2 linked regions of the Nothobranchius furzeri genome follow. The protein of the gene in region 2 purifies or fractionates together with the protein of the main gene of each other region. This does not show direct contact. Links are inferred from orthologs where the notes say so. Each region holds a gene or a part of one and is shown on either strand. Other genes may lie near its edges.

Region 1 (5,921 bases), on a different chromosome or scaffold from region 2:
ATGATGTGAAGAGCTGGCTGTCAGAAAACTTTCTTTTGCTGAACGACGCTAAGACAGAGGCCATCATTTTCAGCCCTGGTACTTCTCAAAGTCCCCAACTGACCCTTCCATTTATCACAAGTGGGTTGAAAAACCGTGTCACAAACTTAGGGGTTGTGATGAACGCTAAACTAAAAATGGACATTCATGTCAACCAGGTAGTTAAGATCTGTTATTACCACCTGAGGCGTCTCTCTAAAGTTAAGCCCATTTTAAAAAGGCGTCATCTTCATTCAGTTGTCCATGCATTTATTACTTCCCGTCTCGACTACTCTAACTCAGTGCTATACGGTATCTCCTCCTCCACTCTCGCTCAACTTCAGCTTGTGCAGAACGCAGCAGCTCGTTTCTTGACTGGCACCAGGCAGCGGGAACACATCACACCGGTTTTAGCAAATCTTCATTGGCTCCCCATCCATCTCCGGATAGAGTTTAAGATCCTGGTTTTTGTGTTTAAATCCCTAAATAACTTAGCACCTGGCTACTTGTCTGAGCTCATTCACCCATATGTCCCTACAAGATCTCTCCGATCAGCTGACCAACACCTCCTACATGTCCCTAGCTCTCGCTGTAAGTCCCGCGGGGAGCGCGCCTTTTCAGTTTGTGCACCGAAGCTCTGGAACCACTTGCCCCTCCCGATCAGACTCTCTTCCTCTCTTTCCCTTTTTAAGTCTCGTTTAAAAACTCACTTTTATTCTCTGGCTTTTAATTCTGTCTAACTTATTCCCTTTCTACCTTTCCTTTTAGGGTTGGATTACTTGATTTTAATGGATTTAGTTTTTATTTTTGATTGTTTTTATTGTGTGTTTTGTTCAGCACTTTGGTCGGCTCTCATGCCGTGTTTAAATGTGCTATATAAATAAAATTGGTATGGTATGGTATGGTAAATAATCCGATGATTAAATGGTAAATAGCCTGTATCTGTATAGTGCCTTAGGGTTCTACAACCCCCCAAGGCGCTTCACAACACAGTCATTCACCCATTCATACGCTGGTGGTGATGAACTACATCGTAGCTAAAGCTGCCCTGGGGCGCACTGACAGAGGCGAGGCTGCTGAACACAGGCGCCACCGGTCCCTCCGACCACCTCCAGCAAGGCGAGTTAAGTGTGTTGCCCAAGGACACAATGACAGAATTCTCTGGTCTGAGCCGGGATTGAACCTGCAACCTTCCGATTACTGGACAACCCACTCTACCTCCTGAGCTGCTGCTGTCCCTTACATCCAAGCACAAACCCACAGAGGACACAGCTAAAGTTCAGAGTCAAAATGGCCGAACGTCCATTAACATGAGGCCTTTCCTAGAGCTAGCTTGTAGCTCTGGTGCTCAATAATTATTCATAATTTCAAGCATTTAATTACAGTCAAAGAGTTATAAAATAACTCACCCCCTCAGAGTTGTCATAAATGTTAGAAAGATCAGTCAAACCTAGAATGGCTTTTTGAACCAGGCTGTAAATGTGTTTATTTATGCTGTGAAACTGGCTTTTTTAACATGGGAGTCAAAGGGAACTTGCTCTGTTTTGGTACTAGCCCCTAGCGGATGAGGGTGGAACTGTAATTTTTGGTACTTCCATGCTGGAGCAAAGCCAGCGGCCTTGATCCCTTGGTACCGACGCACACTCAGAAGCATAAGCTCGGCTTAAATAGCGCCAGATACATGGCTATAACCAAGCAGCTGGCGGTCTCTGTTTTAGTTCAGATAGTCCTCGTGGGCATGAATGTTCCGTCTAAGAGAAGAGCAAAACACTTTGCTTCCCTTCTCAGTTATCCAGCATCAATTAACAGAGGCTGCCTGTGAGGTTCACTTGAATTAAAGAGAACTGAATCCACCTGAGCATAGTCGGTGGAACCGACAGATCCTTGAGTGCACAGATGCACTTTGTTAGGCAGGCATTTATCAGGAAGGCATCGATGTTCTAAACTCGCTTTGTGGACTACCCCCCAGGTTCGTGCGTGTGCAGCTTACAGGGATCTTGTTTGGGTGCTGCTCTCGGATCTGCTGGACCTCTTTGCATCGATCAGCTGTCGACAAAACAAATAGACAGCATGATGAGATTAGGAAGTTTACAGCAACAAGAGAAGATGTGTTTTGGATTGGTGGCCATATTGCAGCCATTTTGGATGGTAGGCTTTCGACTCCGTGTGTCACTGCAGATGGCTGCTTATGCTGATCCAGGATCCTCTGGAGGTTTCTTCCTGTGAAGTCTCTGACACAAGTCAGTGACTCGATGCAACCTGCTGGGTTACTTATATAGGAAACTTTTTACTGATTGCATTAATGAACTGAACTATTGGAATGTTTACTTTGAGAAGCGCCTTAAGAGGACTTGTCGGGATTTGGCGCTTTATAAATAAACGGAATTATAGATAGGGTGAGAAGCTCAGTCATCCGGGAGGAGCTCGGACTAGACCCGCCTCTCCTCCACATCGAGAGGAGCCGGTTGAAGTGGCCCGGGCTTCTAGTTGGGGTGCCTCCTGGACGCCTCCCTGGTGAGGTTATCCAGGCACATCCAACTGGGAGAAGACCTAAAGGAAGACCCAGGACACACTGAGGGGACTATGTTTCTCAGCTGGCCAGGGAACGCCTTGGGATTCCCCGGAGAAGCTGGCCCAAGTGGCTGGGGAGAGGGAAGTCTGGGCTCCCTGCTTAGGCTGCTGCCCCCCATGACCAGATTCCAGATAAACGGAAGAGGATGGATGAAACTCATTTCTAAATGAAACCATCATAACCACGTTCTGGACCTTAGCATGGGTGTCAAACTCTGGTCCTCAAGGCCCACTATCCCACATGTTTTAGTGTTTTCCCAGTTTCAACACACCTGATTTCAAGCTTGGGCCTCCCTGCTTAGACTACTGCCTCGCGACCTGATCCCGCGATATATTTGCATCAACCAAAATAATCGTGGTTATCATTTTCGCCATTGGCCGGATGGGTCTCTTCCTGATGACATCATCCTGTGGTTCCAGTCAGAGATGTTAGGGTGTTCCAGGTGAAACTCCAGTTTTAGAGCTTTCTATCAACCCGTTCCAGGTGTTCATCTACATAGTTCTCACCTTGCTTTGATATTCATGTTTCTGACACTGACAGCTGGTCCGTTCAGGTGAGCGGGTCACTGCCAGACTCCTCCCCTCCTGTCAGGTGACCGATTTAATCAGAGAATACGTGTAGGGGTCATGTTTCAGCACAACTTGTTGTTTTGGCCTCGCGGTGGGTCACGGAGCTGATCCGGTTGTGTAAAGGCTGCGGCGTCACATTGACCCCGTTTACCGTGAAGCTACAGACCGACCATCAACACATGTAAACACGTTAAATCCGGTGTGAACCTACGCATTGAAACGCACTAACGCTAGCTGTAGACAGCACCGTCTTACCGAACGTTCTCCGCTGCTTGAACGGTCGGTCCGACGGCATCCCGGCAGCGGCTTCAGGCGAAAGAAGGTGATGAAAACGGCCCTGGGAGGGTTTCAGATGGCTCGGTCTGAAGCTCCGCAGCAGCTCCGTACAAACAAAGCCAGTAATCTGACGCGCTGACGTCATCCGCTGCCTTATGGAGGTGAGTGAGGCAAGCCAAGTTGTCATTTAATATTCAGAAAAGTTATTCAGTTCCTGTCAGTAAAATTGAGGCCGTCTCTGGATCAGATCTCTGATTTTTATCTGATTTGGTGCTAAATACTGATAAGGTCATGGTAGTGGGGGATTTTAACATTCATGTGGACATTGAAAATGATAGCCTCAGTGTAGCCTTTAGTAATATACTGGTTTTACCCAAAGAATGCATAGCTCCACCCACTCCTGGCATCATACATTAAACCTTGTGCTGATTTATGGCATAGAGTGTGAGGAAAATAACGATATTTCCACATAATCCAGTCCTCTCGGACCACTTTTTGATCACCTTTGAGTTTTTTTATAACTGAGTTCTAGAGACATGAAAGTAAATTTCACTATAGTCTGTCTTTATCTGACAAGGCTGTTGCATCTTTTAAATCAATTATTCCATCTTTACTGTCCTCAGCATCTCAGAGGACTGTAGCAGAGGGCAATATTTTCATTTCTAGCCCCTCACAAATTGATGATTTAGTTCATAATGTTACTTCTTTACGTGTGGCATTAGATGATGTTGCCCCTTTAAAAAAGGTAATTAAGCACAGGAAGTTGGCTCCCTGGTTTAATTCTGATTTACAAACTTTAAAACAAAACTCTAGAAAATTGGAAAGAACATGGCGCTCTACAATTCAATTCAAGTTTATTTATAAAGCATCAAATCAGGACCAGAGTCGTCTCAAGGACCTTCACACAGTAAACATTCCAATACAGGTCAGGTCATTAAGCCAATCAGTAAAAAGTTTCCTATTTAAGGAACCCAGCAGGTTGCATCGAGTCACCTCATACTAAGAATGCAGCGACAGTGCAGAGAAAAACTCCCTTTTAACAGGAATTTTGTGTTTCTTAGTAAACATTCTATTTGGTGAGATAAACTTTATTGTATTTATCCTAGTGAATCTATAATTAATCTGGTAAACTAGGAGTAGCACATTCAATGTCAAAGAGAGTAAAATGTTATTGTCAGGAGAGGGAGAAGTGGTTAGCAGCAGTGTGCTAGCCAATGGCCCCCTCCATGAGGCCACTACAGCTCAGCAGAACATCATTGTAGCTTCTTCTGGGGAGGAAAACACTTAAGAGTAAAAATAAAGTTAACAGCTGAAATAGCAGGAAATAATGCAGTTAAAGAGCAGATTGTAGAAGAAAGTAGTAGAGTGTGGAAAGTGGTCAGTATGTCCTCCAGCATTCTAAGCCTATAGCAGCATATCTACAGAGATAACTCTGGATAACCTAGCCTAGTCTTAAAAGTAGAGACGGTGTCTGCCTCACGGACTAAAGCTGGGAGCTGGTTCCACAAGAGAGGAGCCTGATAGCTAAAATATCTGCCTCCCATCCTATTTTTAGATATTCTGGGAACCACCAGTAAACCTGCACTCTGAGAGCAAAGTACTCGGTTAGGAACGTATGGAACAATCAGATCACTAATGTATGATGGAGCTTTATTATTAAGAGCTTTATGTGTGAGAAGGAGGATCTTAAAGGCTATTCTGAATTTAACAGATAGCCAATGTAGGAAAGCTAGGACAGGAGAGATATGATCTCTCTTTTTAATTCTCATCAGAACTCTAGCTGCAGCATTTTGGACAAGCTGAAGATTTTTAACTACATTCTGTGGACTTCCCGAGAGTTATGAATTACAGTAATCCAGTCTTGATGTAATAAATGCATGAACTAGTTTTTCAGTATCACTACTGGAAAGGATGCTTCTAATCTTAGCAATATTCCGAAGGTGGAAAACGGAAATCCTACAAACCTGTTTAACGTGGGATTTGAATGACATGTCCTGGTCGAAGATAACACCAAGGTACCTTACTTTGTTCTCGGAGACTATTTTAATGCCGTTCAGGTCAGGTGATTGATTAAGCAGTTTCCTTTTCTGAATTTCGGGTCCAAAGATTAGAACTTCTATCTTGTCTTGATTTAAAAGCAGAAAGTTTTGAGTCATCCAACTTTTTATGCCATCAAGACAAGCCTGTAATCTAACTAACTGATTAGGTTCATCAGGGTTAATGGATAGATATAACTGAGTAACGTCAGCATAACAGTGGAAGTTTATCACATGCTCTCTGTGTGTGTCCACAGCAGGTGACATGGTGGTGGGTGGTGTTGTCACTGGCCTGTGGTTAGCCCTGCCCCACTGGTAAACCTCGGAGGTTTTTACCAGGGCATTAAAGTCAGTCCTAAACTGATTTAGGTCATTTTTAATGGGTATTATTCCAATTTCTGTTGTAATAAATGGTTTTAACAATCTGAAGCCACAACTACTTGGGCAAAA
Region 2 (5,728 bases):
TGTTTATAATTTCTATGGATTTAATAACTGAACACTTTAAGAAATCTTCACTTTCCGACTGCTGGCGCTCATTTTCTCACCGTCTTCGTCGCACTCTCCTCCCTCTCGCTCGCCTTTTTCCTCCTCCTCATTCCCTCTTGTCTCCCTCCACCCGCATGTGCTCTGCTGTGTGTCTGAGTCTGATCCTACCTCTTCCCCGCCCCTACTGCTTTGTGTGTGGACAGTCTGGACACATAGTTACACATGCTGACCAGTCGCCTGTAGCTTTCACCAAGGCGGGGGGGGGGGGGGGGGGGGGGGGACGGCTCCCAATGACGAGCCAGCTCCCGTCGTTCACTTCAAAGAGCCGGCTCTTAGAGCCGGTTCATTCGCGACCGACACATCACTACTTCCGGGTACTCCGGTTTCCCCCACAGATCACAACATGCCCCATAGGTTATAAATTGTAAGTCGCTTTGGATAAAAGCGTCTGCGAAATGAATAAACAAACATTTGGAGATCCTCATTTTGGTCTAGAACCCAGTAATCTTTGCCCAGTGGCCACATCCCAAGTTATTTGTACTTTTGTTTTAATTCCCCACAGGCAGAATTAGTTTTATTATTCCCAACCTGTGGATGGAACGATTTATGTTTTTTTGCTGTTGTAAATAAACCTGATCATCATTTTACCTTTTAAATCCCGTGTTATTGTCCCTTCCTTTTTGCACACGAGCCAAACTCCCCAGAAAGGGTTGTAACACCATTCGCCTCACGCTCATAAGTGACCAAAACAAAGCAGCATGGAGACACTCCGTCTCCAACCACCTCTCAGGCAGCCGCCTGCACTCCCAAGTTCTACACGTCACCAGAACATAACCAACCACAACACAATAAAAGCAGTGTTATACAAAATGGAAGGCCTGTAGTGTTTATTCTCTTATAGTAACAATCGATCCTACAGCTCTCCTCCGTGAGAGCGGGGTTGCACACGTTCCGTTGCTGTTTCTCACCAGTATCAGATGATGGATGGCTCTAGTTTCGTTGCGCCGTTCGTGTCAGCGGACACGGTAGAGTCGGGGAGGGGGGCAAGGTGTGACCCTTAGCCTGGCGGGCTACCAGGCTTATAAAGTGCTAGGGGAAACCCTGAACTGGTTAGCATCTTTTCCCTCTCTGCTGCATGCACAGCAATGCACACTAATCCTCTCTTTAATATAACTGGATCTAGTTTTAGGCTACTCTCTTAAATAGTCTAAGCATTTTATGTGTTATTAACAAGTTATTAATGCATACACACTACACCTTTTTAAAAGATGCCACTTGTAAAAATAAAGAAAAATAATTTATAACAATAAATGTGTGCAGTTTATTACTCATTCCCAGTATAAACTACTAGAATTAGAAATGTGATTTATTTTAATCTTCCAGCGTTTTGCATTTAGCTGAATGGAAACAAATAAACAACTCTTGCAGACTGGTTTGGAAACCAGTACATCTACTTGGATCATATGGCCTAAGCTCCACAGAACTAACACCCTTCATCACACATACCACTAAAGCAGCCAAAGGGGATGCAGCAGAATTAGAAAGAACTTCACTGCCATTCCAACTACCTCTCAGAAATCGAACTGCCTTTAATAGTGGTATATTCAATACAACTAACTGTAACGGCCTGTCTGCTGATCCTTGAACGGGGTGAGTGGGTCAGTTATATAACTAAACAATCTGCACACACACATGCATACACACACTGATCATCACCTGGGTACAGGAGATGGTGCAGAGACGTGATGATAAGACTTTGTTGTCACCAACCTATGACCGCTCCTCAATCTGCAAATTAATTAAAATGGTTATGTTTGAGATTCACTCTATTTAAATGATCAACAGATGGCTGCGTGCGTGCGTGCGTGCGTGCGTGTGTGTGTGTGTGTGTGTGTGTGTGTGTGTGTGTGTGTGTGTGTGTGTGTGTGTGTGTGTGTGTGTGTGTGTGTGTGTGTGTGTGTGTGTGTGAGCACTCAGTGAGTTAAATTTACTGTAACATGAAACCGGTTTAAGTTCTGAGTCACTGGGTGCTTTTATCTTCCCCAGGTTTCTGAGGAAGTGTTTCACAGAAGAGCTTATTGCTCAACTCATTTGCTCTCTACTAGGTGCAGAAGCTGCTGACCAACAAACAAGTAGGTCAAGTGTCACTCTGGATGCGCCGGGGACTTTAACTTAAAAATAGTAAGTTTGAGACGTGACAGATAAAACTACAAGTCATCCAGCTCAAGTTGCCATGATTTGGCTGACATCAGATAAGTCAGAGAAACCCTTTAAGTTGTGTTGTGCACGTCATTTTATTGTAGTACACTGATTGTACTTTAGGGAATTGCAAAAGTAGATTTTTGGGAAGAAAAAAAAAACAACCCAAACATAAACATCTGTAAATCCTCAGCTGGAAAAAGACCAAATAATGTGTAACACCAACATGACTCATTTCCTCACAAGACATAACCTCTAAGATCACCTTCAGGCAACTCCACAACACTTTACCTAGTGAGAGAGGATATTGTGCAGGGACATCTGCAGCTAGTCACACTTGACTCTCAAGCATATCCTTTCACACTAACTTGCCTACAGTGACGTACAACACCATCAGAATCTGGAGCCACTTTCAGGGCCTAAAAACGGCAACTAAACGTGACCTTTCACCCATTTAAACGCTACTAAACCAGCAGACGAGAACGAGCCAAACAAACGCACAACATGTTTCACTGACATTTTTGAGCCTCCCTCCTCCATGACTCATCGTGAACTCTTCACTGAGCAAACAGAGCTGGTTGTACGATAGCACGACCCAGAAGTGGAGCTCGTCCTTACATAAGCCCGAACGGAATTAAGATTTCCGCGCCATCTACCTACCTGACATGAAGACGCTTCTTACAAAGCCCACTTTGCCTCGCACACTAAAAAGGTCACAGTTTCTGAGCTCGTTTTCATCAAATACTGGAGGCGTTCAAAAGGCAAAGCAGGTGGACGCCATCGGCTGTAAGTTTGTAAAACGATTAGAATAAAGTAAAAACAATCTGAGACGCAATAGAAACAAATAAAATGTCACGGAAATAGAGCTGACAGCAACACGGACTCCTAATAATAGACTAGAGTAACGGCTGCGAGTCGATAGGTTAACGCTAACAAAGCGAAGCCTGAAAACAGTACTGCTACTTGGGTTTCAGCGGGCACTCAGACCTGTTCAAACTGGTTCTCTAGACTGTTAGTGGTTTGGTACATTTGTAAAAAATAAAGGACACTCACGTAGACTAGCTCAATTCCTCCATCATGGGTTTTCGAGCAGTTCGCCACATAGGAAGGAGGGGAAAGCAGTAACTCCGTGACTAAGCAATTGTGGCGGCCTCCCCTCACTTTCACAATAAGAGTCTTCCCCTAAGCGCGAGACCTGCCTCCGTTAACGTGTAATGGAAGAAACGTACGTCACGAGGGAGGAGGCTTTTATTCGGAAGGAATTCTCAGAATGAAGAAAAAGCTAGGCCAAAATGGGAGCACAGTGCCAAAACTGTGACTCACAGTTAATCAAATGTGTCAAGGGAAGCATGCTCTAATACACCTAAACGTAAAATGAAAATACTTGGTAAAAAGTTTAAAAAGAAAAATGCAATGCTACATGAAATCAATAACTGTAATAACAAACGGCTATTTAATGACTTGTAACACAAATGTTTTAAAATGCAATAGTATGTGATTAATACTAAATGAAAACACTGCTGCTAAAGATCTGACCTATAATAACCCCATAGCTAAATGATAAAAGATGATAAATGACCCGCACTTGTATAGCGCCTCTCAAGAGTAGGGACTCCCAAGCCCTTTACACTGCAGTGTACCATTCATCCATTCACACACACATTCACACACTCATTGTGCTTGTCTGGACTCTTCTTTGAGATAAACATGTTTGTGAGCAGCTCCAGCTCTGAGCAGCAGTTTGCCCCAGGCATGCACTGACACCAATAGTATATGACACACCAGTTCTTTCTGTTACAAAATATGTAAGCCAGGTCATAGTGGTCTCTCTCACAGTCACAAGGTGGCACCACAAGCTAACTGAGTGTTCAGGCCTAAGGAGTGGAAGCTGCATCAGTCTACTACTGCTCTGCCATGAGATCAGTGGAAGGGGACCCTCCAGCAAGTGTCTGTGCACGCGGACTTACGACTTTCAACGCGCCTGTTTGCTGTTGGATTTCAACAGGAGGAAGGACTGCGTCCAAAACCTGGTGAGTAGAGTCAACATCTGGATAAACATCTGCACTGGTACAAATCTCATCAAATCTGAGGTTTTCCCGTGCAGCTGCTCCAGTTGTTGCAGACAGTCATGCCTTATCACCCTAGATATTAGTGGTGGGAATTCCGGCTCTTTTAAGAGAGCCGGTTCTTTTGGCTCAGCTCACCAAAAAGAGCCGGCTCCCTAGTGGCTCCTCAGATTTTCTGTTGCGTAGAGTACATTTATAACCAAAATAATACTAAACTATTTGTAGAATGATTTACTAATATAAAAAAATTCAATATATCAAATATTTATCATTTCTATGGATTTAATAACTGAACACTTTAAGAAATCTACACTTTCTGACTGCTGGCGCTCATTTTCTCACCGTCTTAGTCGCACTCTCCTTTTACCTCCTCCTCATTCCCTCTCGTCTCCCTCCTCCCGCATGTGCTCTGCTGTGTGTCTGAGTCTGATCCTCCCTCTTCCCCGCCCCTACTGCTCTGTGTGTGGACAGTCTGGACACGCAGTTACACATGCTGACCAATCGCCTGTGGCTTGCACCAAAGCAAGAGGGGAGGGGAGGGGACGGCTCCCGTCGTTCACTTCAAAGAGCCGGCTCTTAGAGCCGGTTCGTTTGCGACCGACACATCACTATTAGATATCAAACTGCAGCCACAGATTTATGCCAAAATGTTTTTATTGGCATGTCCCATGACAACTCACAAACCTTTTTGAACCGTCTCTTGACCTCTGCAATGAAAACCTTTTTGTTCTGAAGTTATCCAACTCTCTACTTTACATCAGCAAACTCAAAAATCTGAGTTTATTCTTTTAAAAGTAAAATTTGCTTTAATTAAAACCCAATCTGTGGTACTGTCAATCCCTCAGTTTCATTGATGTTGGATACATGCTGTCAAATCAAGAACAAACTTATACGTTTTAATGCAATTAGAAATCCTTGAGATATGTCGAATCAATGCAAACATAAACGAAGATTTTATTGAACATAAATCTGCAAATGTGAACGATTTACTGACTTTTATTTGCCCCGATTCTTTTTTTTTTCGTCCAAATCTTTCTCTGGAAGCAAAATTAAAACCATCTGTATGTGTTTTTTCCTCACTTTTAATCATGACAAATGTGGAATGAGGTGTTAGCTGATATTCCCTACATGTCAAGAGAATAAAGAAAGAGAAACACGGAGCGCTCTGTATTTAATAAAAGCTGTATTGCGCAGCGCTCTAGCCAGACAGGCAGATCTTGATGCATGTAGGCCAATGTCATTACCAGATGTGAGACAAGGGGGCTGACTTCCTGCGGTCCTTCTTCACACAACCTTTAGGGAACGTAAGAAAATACACGTAGAGACTCATTTGTGAAAGTTGCACATGACATGAAAAAATAAATAAAAACTGCAGTCTCTTTTAAATCATGTAGAAAATACTTTATTTCTTTTATGAAAAGAAAGTTTGCTCTTTCCTGTTA

Evidence for each region. The genes of interacting proteins can lie anywhere in the genome.
Region 1: the proteins of keap1b (region 2) and microtubule-associated proteins 1A/1B light chain 3A purify together in Homo sapiens (affinity purification with mass spectrometry; 3 studies listed by BioGRID and IntAct, with this or other methods). This does not show direct contact. The link is inferred for Nothobranchius furzeri from reciprocal best matches to the Homo sapiens genes KEAP1 and MAP1LC3A.

What each region holds. Positions count from the first base shown.
Region 1 is NC_091743.1:78,249,880-78,255,800, forward strand, and holds the start of microtubule-associated proteins 1A/1B light chain 3A, read right to left. Parts: upstream 3,584-5,921; 5' UTR 3,581-3,583; coding exon 3,415-3,580; intron 2,065-3,414; coding exon 2,009-2,064; intron 1-2,008. UniProt on the Homo sapiens protein: Ubiquitin-like modifier involved in formation of autophagosomal vacuoles (autophagosomes). While LC3s are involved in elongation of the phagophore membrane, the GABARAP/GATE-16 subfamily is essential for a later stage in autophagosome maturation.
Region 2 is NC_091747.1:74,193,790-74,199,517, reverse strand, and holds the start of keap1b (kelch-like ECH-associated protein 1B), read right to left. Parts: upstream 3,538-5,728; 5' UTR 3,274-3,537; intron 1,810-3,273; 5' UTR 1,738-1,809; intron 1-1,737. UniProt on the Homo sapiens protein: Substrate-specific adapter of a BCR (BTB-CUL3-RBX1) E3 ubiquitin ligase complex that regulates the response to oxidative stress by targeting NFE2L2/NRF2 for ubiquitination.